Daphnia pulex: one gene and its partner. The protein of the gene in region 1 purifies or fractionates together with the protein of each later gene. This does not show direct contact. Links are inferred from orthologs where the notes say so. Each region holds a gene or a part of one and is shown on either strand. Other genes may lie near its edges.

Region 1 (7,189 bases):
AAATGAAAACATAATACGTAAAATATAATAAATAACCGCTTGTCCCATGATTTCGGCTTTGATGATTTTTGCTCCGAGAGCATTTAATTCCTGTTCAGTCCATATTTTGTCATCTTCTTGTGGTGGCTGTGTATCCTGTTTTTCTTCTTCACTTTCTGAAGACGACGAAGAAGTCGATGAATCCACTGGGTTGCTTGATTTGGCTTCATTTTTCTTCCATCCTGGTTGCGAAGAATAAAACCGTTTGTTTGTATGGGAAACAACTTCGTCACTCTCACTTGGTCTTCTGAATCTTTCTTGAACGGTTGATGATTTTCTAATGTTTTCTGGATGTTTTCGCTCTCGGGATCTTGATCTATCTCTGCTACTAACATGTGTGGAATCTCTATCTGAGGTTCTTTGTTTTTTTCTTTCTGAAGGATTGGAAGATACTGCATGACTATTAGGACTATCATGCCTTTTTGAGGATTCTGCTTCAGTTCTTTCAGGTGGCAAACCAGTTCCTCCATTTTTCCAGTATGGATTTAATTCTCTACTTGACTGCCCTGGTTTTTCCATCATGGTCTTTCTTGCAATTTCTTCATTCTTGTTCAGGGATGTTCGTTTGGGAGGCATGCTACTGTTACTGAAAATTGGAAGCAAAGAAGGCACACTCATCCATTCATCTCTCTCAAGAGGAGCAGATGAAGCGGGTTCTGTTGTTTCAGATGTTTTCTCTACCCATTCATCAGAATCAGAGGAATTGTCTTTTTTCTTGCTTTTTTTATGTTTCTTATCCTTTTTATGTTTTTTTTCTTTTTTACTTTTTTTGGATTTACCGGACAATTGAGCATCCAACTCAGGCAGCATCCATTTGTCTTCACCATTTAATTTGGCCAATTCTTTTTTAGCTTTCCTTTTCTCATAATCTCTTTCTGCCTAAAACAAAAGAAAAATAAACTAAACCAAATGTATACCAGTAAAATACTATTAAATCAAATTGGTGAAATGTGATGGTGTATTACCTTCGCAAGAATTGCCTCTCTCGCTTCTCGTTTCATTTGTCTCATTTCATCTAAGTCTTTAGAATTTTCAAAATTTATCGACATTTCAAAGGATTATTTCTATGGGCTAAAACTTGAAAAAGAAAACTAGAAAAGCAACACAAATTATTTTCAATCAAATTTACAAAAACGAAAACATTCGTTTTGACGTCTGTCGTTTTGAAGCGAAAACAAGCATTGCCAATTTGTTCAACCAGAGTCATCCGGTTCAACTTTTAATTTTTTTTACAAGCATATAATAAATTTTAAAAACGTTAATAAAAACGTTAATTAAAATTATCAATTGTAGTAAAAATTGTAAAAAGATGCCATTTAATTCAATATTGATATCAAATGTTTCCAACTCGTCAACATCGGATTGCGAAAACTAGTTTTCCCGCCATCTATAAAGAAAAGAAAACAGTGGATAGACGCAGTACAAGTTACAACGTCTGCATACCTGATTGAAGTGATTCACGTGCATTACGTTTTGTTTTGAGAACGACAAATTTAAACGAATAATTGAATTAATCTATAATGTGGGATCAATCAGCAAGTAATAAATACAATTTTGTCAAGCTTTGTGTTATTAACTTTACATTCTTTCCATTACAGGCGATTTTGGAAATGGAACAATGGCCGGTGGTTTCTTTAATGCTGGAACTCCAGGAGGCACAGTTAATACTCCTGGAGAAAAGAAGGTTTGAAGACATTTTTAATATCTCATAGACATTTTCTCATGTTTGTTTCATTCACAGGGTGGAGCTCAACGGGCTCATAATATCATTCCAGTTAATATCAAAGATATATTGGATGAAATTGATGAAAAACTAAAGATAGAAGATACTGAAGCCCACATGGTATCCATATTTATCTTCACTTTGAGTTACATTTACTTATGATTTACAACTTATCTCTTTTAGGTTACATTTGTAGGTACTGTCGAACAGATTGAATCCAAACAGACTAATGTTTCGTACACTGTAAGGGATGATACAGGTTCTATTGAAGTTGTTCAGTGGATTGAGGGTGAAGGGGTATGTATTGTGTTCTGCATATGTTTTCACTCATTATTTATTCCAATTTATTTTTGCAGAATGTCCAATCACCTTTTCAAGTTGTGGAAGGGAATTTTTGTCGAGTTGTTGGATCTATTAGACAGACACAGGATCGCCGTCACGTAATGGCATTTCGTGTTGCGAAACTAACAACTGCTAACGAAATAACAACCCACTTGCTAGAGACGCAATGGGTTCGTATGAAGTTGAGACAGATGAAGAGAAAAATGGTAATGAACAACTCAAATGAATGCTTGAACAAAGGTAAATGATTTTTATTTATAAAGGGAGAAGGAACAGGACAATCAATGAATAACTCAGTGATGGGTGGTGGAATGACTGGGCCTTTAGCTTCTTCATCCTCAGCTACTTCCAATGTGGCAAACGGTATCATGTCAGGACTGTCATCTTTTCAATCTATGGTTTATACCATCATTCAGGTAGATTCATTTGTCATCTATGTGATCAAATTCAAACAATAAAAAACCATGTTATTTTTAGGCAACAACAGCGGAAACCGGCATGGAAAAGTCGCAGATCTACAATTCTGTCAGAGGAAGAATGATCCCACGTGATGTAGAGTAAGTGTATTGATGTGGAAGACAAACATGTTTTCATTGATTTTAATTTAAATTTTTTATTAGTGCTGCTTTGGAATTCCTTTGTTCTGAGGGACATATTTACTCTACGGTGGACGAAGACCATTTCAAATCGACCGATAGCTAAACAAGATTAAGATGTACTGTACCTTCATTCTCATTAAATATCTACTAGAATAGATACATTATACTCAAAACTGTGTCGACTCAGTCTGCGGAATTTATCCTGAAGCTATTAATTCCAACTGTTTTGAAATGGTTCAGTTCTGTCTGTCTTTCAACATAAAAGCTTAAATCGTCTAAAATCCATCGGATCTACATCGGATAATTCATTTTCAGTATATTCAAATATCAGGTACATAATGACCACGGATAACTGGATCATGTCTAATTGCTATGGCAAGTGTTTGTGATGCATTCGAAGTAAAATGTTATTTACATCATAGAATGAAGACGTAAATGTTAGGTATCAGGCAAATTTACTTCTATTATTGGTGATAATCTTCTTGGAAGTTCCCACAGTAATATCCCGTTTCGTTGCCTACGAATAACCGTAGCGCCATCGGTTTCATCACTTGGTTGGAGTGCCGCTTTACTATGATAACATTATTGATTCAAAAATTAAAGCTAAACTCGCTAACATGTAGAAAATGTTTTGCTAAAGTTATCTTACTTTAATAGACGGTTATGATTTACTCGGTAAAGTAACTTGGGATTTAGTTTTGCAGGATCTTGCGGCTCAGACAAAATGCTTCCAATGGTACCAATGATTAAGACGATCACCACGCTCAATACCGTGTACCACAAATACGAAATCCGTAAGAGCACAAATGCATCCGCTCTAGAATGGAATGAAATATCGCGTTAAGTTTCAAATTATTATCTAGAAACGGACTCATACTTTTGAATAAAAAAATGAACGGAAGGTGACCCAACGTCTGTTGAATTGAACGACGGGCAGTTATCTGTGATAAGTAGTTTCATTTGATCATTCGTAATTAGATTATTAGTTTTGGCAATTTGTGTGCTTATTCCCAGCAACATCATAATTGCGAAAGATATAATGGCTCCAAATCCTGCTCCCTTTATAATCAACAATACAAGCAATAAGAAAAATAAAAGTGAAACGTAATAATGTAATACTTACAGTCGAATTAGACCATGGGACAAACATACCTAAACTAAAAACCCCTAAAATTATTCCTGCCATAGCGCCAAGAAAACTCAGAGAAGACTAAATCGAAATCGTTAAACGAAACTATTAATAATCGCCACATCAAAACTACTCATTTTGCGGTTTCTTACATCCAGTGAAATTTGAAACTTGGCAAAATATATGGCCACGCCAAATGTGACACAGCCAAAGATGATTACGGTCATTTTGTTAACTAATGATGCTTTGCTATCCCGCATTATAGGGAAGGAAGGTCGAATTAGGTCTTCGAGAACAACCAGCGAGACGGCATGTAAATTACTAGATAGAATACTACATTGAACAGTGAGAAATTGAATGTTATTGAATAAACTTCTACTGTATAGTTCTTTTCTAAAGAAATAACCTTGTAACCCCACTGAAAATTCCTGTTGCGAAAATTCCTACGTAATAAACATTTCGTCATTAATTTTTTAGGAAAAAGCAATGTGAAAGACCAGTATACCTGGTAAACCCGGAAATTTCCTAATAGTTTGGATAACAAACAAAGGGAAGATCTCGTTCGAATTTTTAACAATCTATAGTGGAGAAATGGTAAGGTTGTTTGATTAAATTCAAGTAAGCGTATGTCATTTAGCATCTGAGTGAAATAAAATCTTCCTCACTTCGGCTTTCAAAGGAGCGCAGTCAAAGTAAAATGCATATGTAACAAGGCCTGTTAAGCAACAGAGAGAAATGATTCCTGCTAGTAAAAGGAAATTGATGCACTGCGATCTGAAAATAAACGTCAAAAGTCAAATTTACTTGAGAGAAGGATTTTCGTTCTGTTTTGAAATCACGTACATTCGTGCTTTATGAAGCGTTGGCAAAGCTAAGCATCGCTGAACAAACACTTGATCCGTAGCGTACATAGATGTGAACAAGAAAAATCCTCCGATGGACAAAGACCAGACCTTAAAACATTTTGAAAACTTTGAAATTAAAATATTATTTCAAATAATAAGGCATTTATGCATTAACTGTGTGACGAGTGGTAGGGTCGAAATCGAAGCTGCAAAAAAATAAAGGATTAAAATCCAACATTCAGTCGGATGCGAATGAAATTATCTACTTAAAGAATTCAATGCGGGACGAGTTGGCGTTCAGCAAAAAAACGTTTTCTAGACCACCGACGAGCATGACTCCTTTTACCAACACAATAATTATTGATCCGTACATCATGCATAATTGGAAAGTGGCGGTCCATACTACAGCTTTGATACCGCCCTAAAATAAGTAGCAATAACTCATTATTTCTCATCAGAATAATTTACTGTACTTACAATAGCGGTGTAGAAGATGCACACAGCGAACATAATGCTGATTGAAACATTCTCTTGGAGTCCGGTCACTGAGCAGGTATACATGATAATTAATAAGAGGAAACCGAGTCCTCTGAAGGCAAAATTTTATATTCACCTTGTTTTAAAGCCAGTGATGGTCCATACACCATCACTGCCAAATAAAAAATCTGTTTAAATCCATACACGAAAAAAAATATTAATAACAACCGCCTTATTTCTATTTTGCATTTCTTATTGAAATACCGTTTTGAAAATGTAGAGTATAGAAATTAACTGTCGTATAGTACAACTGAAGCGCATTTCAAGGTACTAAGAAAAAATTGACAGTATAAAACTTGCTCACTAAATAAATTACAAGTTTACAATCTTATACTTGATGGATCGAGCCGTCAAGCTGAAGTTGGTGATAAAATGGTAAGTAGACATAAACGGATACTGGAATGGAGAGACCCGCGGCAACAATTATCCACCAGTACATCGATCCAGTTAGGTAAACATCTGTCGGTATGCCAAGCAAAGCTGAAGCCGATATTGAGCTGCATGAAAAGAAAGATAAATCATCAGTCAAGAAATAAAGCTGTCAATTTAATAACACCTTGCTGTTAAAGACATGGCGATGGGAAAGATGCCTATTGTTTTTCTGCCAATTAGATTGTCGGACGTTGAATTGCTTACGCCACGCCACGCGTAATACACGCCGATCACCATTGAAGAAAGCAAAGCGGCGATAAAAATCAAGTAATCACCTAAACTGAACGTTGCCTTTTGGAAAGATTCAAATCGATCCATATCTGTGTCTCACTCTAACGCAATGAAAATTATAAATTAAAGTAGCGGCAACGAACCGTAACGATTTTCAAACTAGTTAATATTGACGTTGAACGTACCACACCGTAACGCGTAACTCTGTTTTAGTGCGGTTTAAACACTGGTAATAAACAATCAAACAGTCCGAGACAACTGCGTTTTAGATAGTGTACGAGTTTTGATCGTAAAACATGGTCAAACCAAATGGACAAAAATGTTAACTTGGTTCGATGGAGACTTCAATGAGTCAATTCTTTGCAACGCTGTTGTTCGCCTTGACCGTGTTGATTAGAAAGGAGGCTCACAAGAGTTGTCCCACAAAAAAGAGTTTGTCATATCACGGTCAGCTGGTTTAGGCAGCAAAAAAGCTTTGGAAACAAACAACTTTTTTTAAAGAAAAAAAAATAGCTCTGTCCGCACTAGAAATAATAATACAAAACGCGCAATGTAGTACTCAGGTTTCTCGCCATTTCCTTAGCGCATCCATTTTCATGAATAAATTATCTTTTCACATTAAGGCGTAGATGATTTAAACAGTTATTTTTAAAAAGAATTGCGAGAGAAAAGAAAAGAAATAAAACGGGTTTATAAAAGTCGAGTTAAAACGTTTTCTAAGGATAAAATCACTATGATTTACGGTTTTCTACTCTTGAGCGTACCTCAATATTGGAAGACAGAAGGCCGCTGCGAGCGCCTTACTTTGGCAGGCTGAGTTTAAAATGTTGCAAAGGTCTGTGGTCCGACATAAAAACTGGAAGTGTAGCCTTCATTCCTTATTCAAAAGGACTAGACTGACAATTGTGAAGGTCACTATTGATTGAAGGAGATGAATTATGGTTTGGGGCAAAAGTGTTAACTCATAAGGAGTGCATAATCCAAGGTTTCACTGAAAGGTCAAACTATAAAATTCATTCTAGTTCAATGTCATCAGTTTTGGGGTCCGAAGGCAACTCTCCAGCCTTCTGGAAATAGAAAAAAAAATCGTTATTCATAATTCGTACCACAAATGAAATTACACCGCAATTATTACTGAACACGTATTTACTTTGCTCGATCGAAAACAGTTGCTGAATTTGCAAAGAAGTTTGGGGTCAAGTTTTTGAGGATTTTGTGGTCCGGATAAAAAGCTGACTATTGTCCCGAGGATCAGCACAATCAACATTCCTATCATTGTGTACCACAGGTACGAAATCTTCCATAAAACAAA
Region 2 (11,459 bases), about 5.2 Mb from region 1:
GTGTAGTGGTTGGTGTAGTGGTCGGTGTAGTGGTCGGTGTAGTGGTCGGGGTAGTAGTTGGTGTAGTAGTTGGGGTAGTAGTTGGTGTAGTAGTTGGGGTAGTAGTTGGGGTAGTAGTTGGGGTAGTAGTTGGGGTAGTAGTTGGGGTAGTAGTTGGAGTAGTGGTCTTTGGCCCGGCTGATAAACCAAAAATAGAAGGTAATTTAACAATCGTCATACTGCTACAGGTAAAAAACATTAACAGGTAAACAACATTACCACAGGTAAAAAACAGAGATAGCTATACTTTTTATTAATAGCATAAATACGATTTTATACTGTTGTTTACTTACGCGTGCATGTTTCTTCTATTGGCTTACAGGTAGACAAGTTTTGGTCAAATACGGAACCCGATGGACAATACTATAGCAATTGTATATGCGTAGTTAAAATGTTTAGTTGTTCAAATATTGTCCCCATTAATTATTTTACCATTGTAAAACTTTGGCCGCCAGCACAATAAAAATACAATCCGCTACAAGTGTCTGACAAATATAATAATGAATTAAGATCACTCACTCTATTAATCCGATTTGTTTTATTGTATTTACCAGGGTACGTGTAGTAGCCGTCTTCACCGCAGTCGAACGACGCATCTATCATATTTACAAAATAAACAAATTAATAAGCCAATTTTGCGCATCACGTTTGAAGAAATATACTAAAACTTTTTGTCGACGGAAGTCTAAAGAAAAAAATTACTACCGGTATTGCATGTAGCTTCACCGGAAGGTACGCATTCATAAGTCACAGGATCAAAGATGTAGTCGTTAGGGCACGTCTACATTAAGGAAACGGAGATGGTCAAAGAACATTTTTTAAATTGGAAAAATAATAAAGTAGTAAGACCAGTTTTTGCGGGTATCCCTTAGTGCATTCGTAATATTCACCGACGCAGTGTTGAGGAACAGGATATTTTCCTTCTTCAGCGGGACATTCTGATAAGAAGAAAAAGAGAAAGAAAGAAGGAAAGAAAACATAACAGTCATTACGTTACTGATTTTCAGAAATGTTTAAGTCAACTAAGGACTTACCGAAACAAAGTGCGGGTTCGACGCAAGTGTGCATTTCTGGATCGAACAATTGTGGTTCTGGGCAGAGCTAATAAGAACAACATAAATTTACAAAATACGTTACTTCTGCTTTTATGAAGATTGTTTTAGTCTTTTGTTCGTATACCTGGTAATTTATCATGTTTCCACCATAGCACAAGTAAAAATCATTAGTGCACTGGTTGTTCATAGTGTAATAGCCATCTGGTAGGTCGGAGGGGCAAACGAAATCAGGTGACTGTGTAATAGTAAAAAATAAATGTAAAATATTTAACTTTCCGCACTTTAAAAATAAATGCAATGGAAAAATAGTGCTGTAATTGACGACGCCAGAAAATACTTACCGGTGTTGGCGATTCCTTCAAAAAAGAACAAGAGTAGCCTGATCAAGAAGAAGAAATGAAAACATGATTAAAAACAACTATAAATGCGCAACATATTTGAGTATAACATTACCTTGAGTGATTACAAGAATCAAGATAAATTGTATCCACCGCTCCATCATCTTTTTCTTACAGAACAGATGGGAGACGAGCAGGCGTGGAACACAACGGATAAACTGTAGATGCACAAGTCAACGACTGAACTTACTAGAAACAGCATTTTCGTTTGTTTTAACCACTTCGCGTCGCAGAGTTTATCGCGGATCTTATGAAAAATCACGCCTAAAAAAAAACTAACTAAATCCTTATCGTGTGGCGCAACAACATTTTCAGAGGGCACAGTGACCAGATATGACAGTAGTTGTTGTTTGTTCATTACCAGAGGCTAAACGGAATGTCGGTGGATCAGTGACGGTAATAGATAGCAATAACACATTATATAAACAGGTCAATAGAGTGAATGCGACATTTATACGCATTATACACATTGTTATATTTTTAGACAGGCAGAGCCACACCTTTTTTACCTGTCAGTTGCGAAGCACCGAATAACCGTTGTTAATTTATGATTGCAACTTTCCAAAGTTACGCTGCATTAGGAGATAATTTATACAGATGATGTCTAAGTTGCTTACATGTAATATCTAAAATATTAGGATGAAACAGAATACATTTATTACACTATTCGTTTTGATCACTTCGTTTGATCTAATCGTCGTGAAATAACTGTTCAATGCTTCCAAAGTATCAACACATGTCTTTATTTGACTGAACTGAACGGGAGTACGCCAGCGAAAGACATTAGGCAAAATCAGGACAATGATTTCTAGTGTGACCTGCATTCAGAAATTAACAGTTTGTAAACAATACGAAAAGGAATGTAAATATTAGCCTACCTTCTTGACCGCAGTTTCCGCATTTCCTCGCTCTTCTTTCGGTAGTGGATGACGGATCACTAGACTTCCCACGACCGCGTCCTCTTCCTCGCCCTCTTCCTCTAGAACCCGTGTCTTGATTCGATCCTCCTCGGGAGTCTTGATCAAATCCACTTCCGCTAGCGCCGGTGTCATCCATCCACTTGAAGAAATTGCACTGTGCCTCACGCGGTTTGGCGCAACAATAAAATTGACGCCCACAATTTGGTCCTGGTTTTTGGGTTGTTCTTGTCGTGGCCAATTCACGACCCCCTCCGTCACAGTCACAGTAAGTCTCCGAATCATCGTTATCACGTCGCTCATTCCGGGCAGTCGGCTGACGGAAAAATGCTTCTCCTGCCCCACCACGACCATTTTGAGCAGCTGGTGCCGGTACATTGGCAGCATCAGCCCATAGGAAAAAATCGCAGCCATCCTGTTGTTTTGCACATTTATAGAACTGCCGACCCGTGTTGGGACCTTCCTTCCTAACCGTTAGGAGCAAAGCATCAGGTGCGTCCCTGCACTTGCATACAATCGCAGAGTCCCTAAGCAACAAAACAAAAGGTTTAGATTGTTTAAGATCCATTTCACTTTAGTAAATCATAAATACCCGTTGTTGTTATCAGATCTTGATGGCGGATGAGGCACAGGTTGACGGAAGTACGGCTGTGAAGGGATATTCGGTTGGGTAGCTCCAGAGAACGCTGAAGGAATTGGCGGTCGAGCACTTCGAGCGTTATTGGGAGCCATTGGGCGAGGCTGGACTTGAGGTCTAGGAAGAGTCGAAGCAGAGGAACGGGAGCTATTTGCAGAATACTGAGATCCGGAAGCGTAACCAGAAGAATTCCCAGAATCATTGGCAACTCTAGTGTTACTCGGCTGAGTGTTGTTTTGGTTTCGGGGTTGTGTTGCCAACGGACGGATTCCTAGAAGTTCCATAAAGTTTGGGTCGCATCCACCAATACAACCGCGATGAGTATCCGGGTAAAATGGAGCGTAAACTCCCGGGGTGAATTGGAACCGCAATAGGGGTGGATGAAAAGGACACTGGAGAAGAGATTGACTTGTAAAAAACAGAGAAGCACGATAGTTGTTAAATAAAAGACGAAATACAGACCGCGTTACACTTTTCCGCATCAACTTCCACTTGCTGTACAGCAGCTGGCAGCCAGACGGCGGTTTTACATTCAGGAAAGCCCATACAAGAGAAAAAGAAACTGTTGTCCTTTTTCCGTCGCAGAGTCATGTCCAAGTTACAAGCAGGGCACTTTCGGTAAGGCAAATTTGCATCTGGTCCTCCCTCAGGAATCATCGGTGGTGCTTCCTGTCGTTCCTCATTAAAGAATGTCGAAAGAGCCTCGTCGATTTTGATGACCTATTGTGGTTATTGTAATTATTTTAACTTGATTTGAAATGGCAACCATTCGTGAAAACAAGTTTACCTGTTCCATTGCTTGTACAAACACCCTTCTGTATCTTTCAATCTGCTCTCTCAAGACATCATTCGGATTCCTTTCTCCATCGCAAACTCTGCAAGATTAAATGTGCAATTAATACTAGGACGGGGTTAGGTTTTAATTTAATTTTTCCAACCTTTTAAGATCAGCCTCGAGTTCAGCTCTGAGATTTGGCTTTGAAAGCGCGATCCCCATGGCGTCATAACCCTGTACGAGTCCCATACCCAATGAACAAGGTAAGAAGCGTCCGTCGCCTTGTACGCCAGCGTACTGCCGCGATTTGACCGTCTCAATATGGTCAGCATGTGTGGCGTCAGTACCAATTCCATGTTTTTCCATCAATGAAATCAAATCAGCTTCACTTAATAGTTGAGGTGGACTAGTTTCTCCCTCATCCATGGTTATCGATGTCGGCTATAAAAGGCAAACAACAATTAGTATTTGACCGGAATATCCTGGAAATGTTTAAGTTTTATACGATGAAGCGCTGGCCTTCATTGAGTTGGGGAAGACTACGATCACTCCAGCGCTCGTACGGATATACTTCCAAATAGTTTCTTGCTACTATTTGCAATCCACTGGCGACGAAGCCTTCTTCTTGAATTTCGATTTCGGCCACCGTTTCGTAACCCTGTAAGAACCATAAACTTAGCGGAACGTGGAAATAAAATAAATTCCTCAACATACCTGGGCATCCTTACTGACGCAAGCTAAAAAATGGCGAACGATAAACTCGTAAAGTTTGCGTTCATTCTCATTATTTAAATTTCCTGCATATTTTGTTGGATGAATGGGAGGATGGGCCTGATCACTTTTCTTCCCCTGGCGAGGGTTCAGCCCTTCGTCCAAAACGCGTTGAGCGAATCCTCCCCAAGCAGGATCAACCGTCTAATGCAAAATATTTTAGCGTAACCAATATGATTATAATTCAAGAACACGAATAGTTAAGTTTGTCATGATATACCTGACACTGGACCAAAGGAGTCAGGTCCAATTCTTTGGGAAAGATATTTGTTTCGGTACGTGGGTAACTGATGAATCCTTGAGTGTACAATTTCTCGGCAATCTTCATCGTTTCCTTGGCATTGATTCGCAGTTTCCTGGATGCTAGCTTTTCAAGTTCCTATGACATAAATCGTGATGTAAAATTATATGCGGAAAAATAGACCAGACAAAAAAATTTCACATACAACAGTGTCTAAAGGCAAAGGTCTCCATTTGCTTTTATTCTTTGTTTGAACTTTGATTATTTCAGCTTCAGGGTTCTCCTGGCATCTTTTATCAATATCATAGTAATATAAATTTAATCAAAACTAATAACACTTGAATTTTAGTTGATAATGCTAGTTGATAATAATAACAAATACTTTTCAAGGAGTATTTGAACCACTGTTTGATCAAACAAATGGTGTCTTTTCCAAAGGAATTCAACGCGCTCTTCCTCATTGAGCTCCCAGACAACTTTGAGTTTCCAAAAATTCTCTCTCACAAAATCCTGTATGGCTTTATATCGCTCGACAATAAAGCCTAGAGTTGGGAACTGACACGAACCATAACTGATCATAGATTGGCCTACAAATTTTAAACATTATTATTGAAATGTTGAATTTATTTGTCGTAGACTTGATACAGCCAACAAATCCACTTACCAAGTGAGCCTGGGAAGACTTTTTGAAGTCGTAGAGTTTGAAATCTTGTAAATGCAGCACCAATTCTAAGATCCAACTCAATTCTAAGATCCACTGCATCACTGACATTTTTGTTAGGGGGGCCCAAATTTTGAAGTGCTCGAGCAATTGACTATAAAATAAAATTAGACAAATGGAATTAGATTGTAAATTTCATTAAGATAGTTAGCCTTTTACTTGGTATGTTATTTCAGAGAACTTTGCTCTGAACACTTGAATGCTAGGCTTGATTGCCTGACATACTGTGATTACTTCATAGCCAATATTTTCACCTTCTCTATCACAATCGGTCCAAATGATCAGGTATTTGCTCTTTTTGGTTTCTTCCTCCAAAGTTCTTTTGATGTCTTGATAGTCATCGGCAACAAATTTATGAATTGGAGCTTCAAACAAAGTAACAGGATTAACCCCATGCCACTTTTTATAATTTCCAACAAAGTCAGAAGATAGAAGATGACCAGTTACTGAAGTAACTGCCATTTTGACATTTTGGTTGAAAAGATTATGTTCAAACTCATAGATTTTGTTGAATTTGCTTCGGCCTTCTCTACGATTTGCACGACCTAATGTAATGAAGAACATATAATCCTATTACATTTGGCAGCTTAAGCATTGTGACTGTGTGAAGTATTACCGCGAGAAAGAAGTTCAGCAATATTTTTGGCAGCATCGTTTTTCTCTGCTACATTAAGCACCTACAGATAAACATCGAATTTGAGACGAACGTTTCGTTCAATACCCATGAGGAAATAGTAACATCATTCGTACAAGGATGATACCAATTCTTGCGACATGTTACCTGGACCATTTTACAAGACTCTGCTGATACGGCAGTTGTTTTACAACATCTAGTAAACTCTAAACGATTCAAAGAAACGTGTTTAATCCCCGACAATTTGAAATGAGAAAATAATAACATGACTTCCCATCCCTTTTGTTAGATCACCCGCCAATATGGAAGCCTCTTCTCTCCGCCAACCTAATGCGTCGCTTAAAAAATTTAAGCTAATTTAAGTTTTTTAAAAATTAAAATTATAAGACAAAAACTACTTGTTTAGGCAAGAGTGGATCATTTATTTTAAGAGAAAAGAATTGTACAAAGCACAAAAACATTAAAATAATTTGAAATAAAATTTAAAAAACAATACTATAGAATTATAGATTAATAGATGTGGAAAATCCAGTGGTGAACTGACAAAAGTTGTAAAGTTGCGTCTCTAAAATGACTTAAAAGGCAAGCTTATTTGCGTTGCAATATTCTAATAATAAAATGTTGATAATTTGTTTGGCAAATAATGGCAAGTACGTATGCTGGTAAACGACTATAGAAAATATTGATTTAGTTTTATCAATCCGTGGGCGTTCGTGGAGTATTTAAAGCGGCCAGAGCTGCTCCGTAAGATGCATCTCCTTCTTGCACGGTTTTAAATGGAATGTTTTTATATTGAACGGCAACTTGCTGTTGAAGAGGTTGGTTTCGACTAAGGGCAGATCCGGTTCCAACCAACTGGGTAACTCCGTACTGTTCCAGCAGAGTGGTGGACATCATGCTGTTTGGTGAAAACATAAAAATCAAACCGTCAAGAAAACTAGCAATAAAGAAGATAATTTATTACTTGTGCAAGTTGGTGATGAGTCCCTCAAATAATGCTTTCGCCACATTGCCGAGACTAATATTTCCCGAATTTATGTTGGATACTTCGGCGGCGGGCAACCTGGATAGATGACGTTCGCCAAAAAGGGTCGGAATGATGGTCATGGCTTGTTCAGTTGAATTTGATTGCTTCACCAGGGTCAGCATTTTATCCCAAATCAAGCTCTGCGGAACCCCGAAGCCCAAATCCTGCATCCAGGACTGCAGCATCCGAACGAAAGAAGCCATGACGTTGCCCCCGTTCAACGAAGCAGCGACGGCCAGATAGCGGTTGTCAAAATACGGGAAATATTCGATAGATGATTGCGTGTCCGGCAGAGTGAAGTCGGCCGGCATGCGAAAAGAAAGTTGAGCAGATGTCGAGATGTTTAACACGGCCGTGCATGCAATCTCGTTAGCAAGGGTGGATAACACGGAGCACTGCATGTCCCCCAAGGCGGTAAGCACTTGCGTTCCACGCGGGATGCCGCACCAGGTTTTCGACAAGGTACCCGCCACGGATCCGCTATCCATTACTTTCGGGAGAAGATGGATGGGGAAGTCGACAGTTTTCAAGATGTCTAGATTCCACGTCTTGTCTTGAGTGTTGAAGTAACCCCAACTGGCAGCATTTTGAATGGACATGACAGGGCAGTCGAGGTCACAAAGCATGGAGACAAGAAAGTCTTGGATGGTCCCTGCACAGCTGTAAAGCGAAAGCTCTTCTGGCTCATTTCTCAGCTTCCATAAAAGTGTGGCACATCCATATCCTGATGCAATTCTCAAATGGGAGTCTGGTTTGGGAACTTCGCTGAGGAATTCCAAGGAGCACCTAGAATCTTGCCAAGTGTACAGTGAGCTAAACGGACCCTTACCCAATTCAAAGCGATCACTGCTTGATGTGGTCCAAGCGGTTTCCTTATTCCAAAGCACAACACCATGCATTTGTCCACAGACGCCGATCTTTGTAACATTCTTGAGCAAATCTCTAGGAATCCGACCGATGCAATTATGAACGGCCGATATGATTTTCGAAACATCTTGTTCGGCTCCTTCGCCGGCCTGTGTGTCCTTGCTTTGCTTGGCTACCACTTTGCGTGAATGGATATCTACAACGCTGACTTTAACAGAAGTAGTTCCTAAATCCAGACCGAGAACGAGATTGGCTGCTGTGGCCATGTTTTTCTTCTGCTTCGTACGTGACTCTGCTTACCGGTCAATAGTTGGGAGGTTGTTTATTTGTCAATTTCTCGTTCTGTACTGCTCGAGACAGACAGACGAAAGGTCTTGTGTTTGTTTTGGTTTTTCAAAGCTGTCTGCAAGTTCGGCTGCTGTCCCTAAACTGCGAAAGCGAAACGCGAAACGCGAAACGCCTAAAATGCGGAAAGGCTGTGCGAAACGGACCAAAATTTTTGGACCGTTTCGCGGGACCAAATGCCGGAGGGCATACTAAAATGCGAAACCTCAAAATGCGAAACGAAAATGTTTTCTTTTCCCCACCAGAGTGCAAATTGACGGATGAGGCCCGTTTAGGCCGCCATGTTTCATGACTCATAGTATATGTAATGTGAATGTATGTATGGATATGAATGTGTGTACACTATATATTAACGAATATTACTTTTCGCTAGAGTTTTGAAAATAAAATGTTTGTATTTCATGGGAAAACAGTCTTATCAAATTAAATTTATTTAGTCGACTCGATTACTCTTGTTTCTTCAAGAGCACGGGGGTCCCTCGGATGAGCTCTTGAATGAGAAATCTCCAATTAAGTCTTTGTGGAATAGAGGCGGAAGAAGCTTTCAGCACGTTTTAGCTGGGTGGCATTTTCAATAAATTTCAATCGAATAGCTATATATATTTAGACGCCGGGCTGCTATCGGCTGATAGTTTTTTCCATTTGACTTGGTCAGCCGATTTTCCTCGGCGAACAACTGTTGAGAGAAATTCCGGCTAAGAGAAACAGATTGATCGAATGACATAGAGAACGTCGACGACGTAACAATGTGTTAATGTACCCCGCTGGGCGCTGTGGGATTATTTTATTTAAGACATTGAAAGGGGGGAGCAATTAAATTTCATTTCTTCAGCCGCTACTTTATTTCGGTTTAAATTATGAAAAATTGAAGTCAAAAGTCAGCTATGCGTCTTGGGACGGGCTGATGAGTGATTCAACCGAGGTATGAAATAAATCAGCCTACACCACCTAATGATAATAAAAGAAGAAAAGATTAAAACAAATTCTATTATCGAGCAAATTAAGCTTAACATTTTTCCCCCGTTGACAAAGTCATCGACACGAGCGTTCTTTCCATGCGCACATGCACACATATTGTATCCACCTAGCCATCACAGAAGAAGAAAAATCAAGAACCGAAACTTTCCTTAAACATAAAAATGATTCTTTGATACCTGAATTGTAGATTGAAAATACAAAGATTTGATTTGTGATGCCAATCTTCTAGCGCTTGTAGCAAAAGTAAAGCACAGATACGCCTGCTCCACACTATTACTTGGGCAGCATGAGCTATGAAACTATTACCACTCTCAGAATTCCACCAAGGTTTTCTATGACAGGGATAACAAATTATTGCTTTGAACAAGAAAAGCGATTAGAAAAGAAAACACTTGCATAATTTTTCCGTCACCTCAGAAACAGTAGATGTATTACCTATGAGAACAGACAAGTATGAGAATAACATGCAGACAGCATGATAATTTTAACTAAAAAATACCTCAGAGAATGTAGGTTACAATGTATCAGGTGAAACATCATGTCACCTCACATTGGGAAGTTTTTTCTTTACTCTCATTTATTTCTTTGCAGAAAGACAGCTTACTTCAGCAAAACGACAAAGCAAGTTTCATGAAGTGGACATCTCCCATGACTTTAATTATCTAAAAAAAATGCATCAATTAGTTGGGCGAAGAAAAATATTAGAAAAAACAAAGTATCTTAAACATCAGATGAGTTAAGTTTGGAATCAATAAATTGACTATGTCAAATTCAATCCATTCCCTCCATTAGATCATCAACAAAGATTGCAAAAACCCACGAAATTACATACCAAGTTTAAGAAGTATTGCGGTGATTGAATGGCAAATAACGTGAATCACAAATCAAAATCATGAATACAATAGGTAAATACACAAAACTGTAATATCCTTTTAATTTAACGAATTATATACAAAACAGAAACTAGGATAAACTAACTCGAAGGCAAGGTGTTTTTATCTTGACGAGTAGATTTTTGTGACGCAAGTATGTTAATGGCGTCGTCTGTTGACGTTCTGTTGACGTTTCGCACCCACCGATTTCGCATTTTAGTACGGACCCAAGGCCTAAAATGAGAAACAAGGTCCCAACTTTTGGGTCCGTTTCGCACAGCTTTTCCGCATTTTAGGCGTTTCGCGTTTCGCGTTTCGCTTTCGCAGTTTAGGGACAGCCTGCAAGTTCATCTAACGGCCAATTTTGGAACTTGCAGCGACTCACACAAATGGCTAACGTCTAGACGTTTGAAAAATGCTATTTTTGCATATAAGGAATTGAAATGAAATTACTCGTCAACAAAAATGACAATGGTTATAGATCTGGAGAATAAGAGTTAAGGTTCATGTCCAAAAATGTAAAAAGCTCACATCCCTGAAGGCAATTCAAGCAGGTGAAAACCGGTTGAGAGAAACGGAAAAAACCAAAAACAACAACAAATGTTTTAAGGGCATCATTATTTCTAGGTACTAGAGAAAGGTTTGTTGTCTTTTCTCTCTCTCTTCGTGTTTTTCAAAAAGAAAAATCGAGCTACAGAGTTCGTCCATACCTTCGGGTTATTAGGGTGGGTCTCTTATGAAAGCGGAAGATTTTGTTGCCATGGCCTTTTCCCCTTCACCCATCGTTATCTTATCACACAATCAAAACAGGTCAACGGACGAGATCTTCTTCTCGCGTGGTCTAAAGTCTAAACAAGTAACTTTCCAGAAAAGGTTTTCCCCATCATCATGAGACAAGTAATAAAAACAAAGAAAGATAACATGTTTCTTTTTTTATATAGATATAGCATTTTCTTATATTGTCAACTGAACAATTGCGACTACAATCGAGAGATGATCGAAGGTGGGAGGGGGGGGGGGTTTGATACGGAAAAATCGAAAATTTTTCTTTTTTGGGTTTTTCCCTTTCAACTAACCAAACGAATGGCACTACTACCGTGGAAGTATACGCGAGATTCCTCGTCGCAAGTCTTACGCATTTTTACCGGATGTGCGGATTCAAAATAGTAAACGCGCGAATCC

What was found. Proteins that work in one complex are often made in the same cells at the same time.
Region 2: the proteins of replication protein A 32 kDa subunit-like (region 1) and DNA topoisomerase 3-alpha-like purify together in Homo sapiens (affinity purification with mass spectrometry; 4 studies listed by BioGRID and IntAct, with this or other methods). This does not show direct contact. The link is inferred for Daphnia pulex from reciprocal best matches to the Homo sapiens genes RPA2 and TOP3A.

What each region holds. Positions count from the first base shown.
Region 1 is NC_060017.1:2,573,473-2,580,661, forward strand, and holds replication protein A 32 kDa subunit-like, read left to right. Parts: upstream 1-1,416; 5' UTR 1,417-1,559; coding exon 1,560-1,578; intron 1,579-1,637; coding exon 1,638-1,723; intron 1,724-1,780; coding exon 1,781-1,882; intron 1,883-1,945; coding exon 1,946-2,059; intron 2,060-2,118; coding exon 2,119-2,310; intron 2,311-2,367; coding exon 2,368-2,520; intron 2,521-2,581; coding exon 2,582-2,661; intron 2,662-2,724; coding exon 2,725-2,806; 3' UTR 2,807-2,984; downstream 2,985-7,189. Other genes in the region: CWF19-like protein 2, read right to left, coding at 37-918, 1,005-1,088; sodium-coupled monocarboxylate transporter 1-like, read right to left, coding at 3,142-3,274, 3,353-3,520, 3,581-3,762, 3,827-3,913, 3,985-4,165, 4,239-4,275, 4,338-4,410, 4,498-4,606 and 8 more; sodium-coupled monocarboxylate transporter 1-like, read right to left, coding at 6,891-6,944, 7,013-7,189. UniProt on the Homo sapiens protein: As part of the heterotrimeric replication protein A complex (RPA/RP-A), binds and stabilizes single-stranded DNA intermediates that form during DNA replication or upon DNA stress.
Region 2 is NC_060017.1:7,794,946-7,806,404, forward strand, and holds DNA topoisomerase 3-alpha-like, read right to left. Parts: upstream 6,497-11,459; 5' UTR 6,456-6,496; coding exon 6,336-6,455; intron 6,232-6,335; coding exon 6,171-6,231; intron 6,100-6,170; coding exon 5,714-6,099; intron 5,649-5,713; coding exon 5,498-5,648; intron 5,421-5,497; coding exon 5,216-5,420; intron 5,124-5,215; coding exon 5,039-5,123; intron 4,972-5,038; coding exon 4,813-4,971; intron 4,737-4,812; coding exon 4,536-4,736; intron 4,480-4,535; coding exon 4,327-4,479; intron 4,263-4,326; coding exon 3,985-4,262; intron 3,922-3,984; coding exon 3,834-3,921; intron 3,767-3,833; coding exon 3,509-3,766; intron 3,439-3,508; coding exon 3,002-3,438; intron 2,937-3,001; coding exon 2,371-2,936; intron 2,311-2,370; coding exon 2,276-2,310; 3' UTR 2,212-2,275; downstream 1-2,211. Other genes in the region: chitin-binding domain protein cbd-1-like, read right to left, coding at 1-177, 333-402, 472-524, 591-635, 745-820, 889-977, 1,074-1,140, 1,219-1,329 and 2 more; sedoheptulokinase-like, read right to left, coding at 6,885-7,086, 7,153-8,348. UniProt on the Homo sapiens protein: Releases the supercoiling and torsional tension of DNA introduced during the DNA replication and transcription by transiently cleaving and rejoining one strand of the DNA duplex.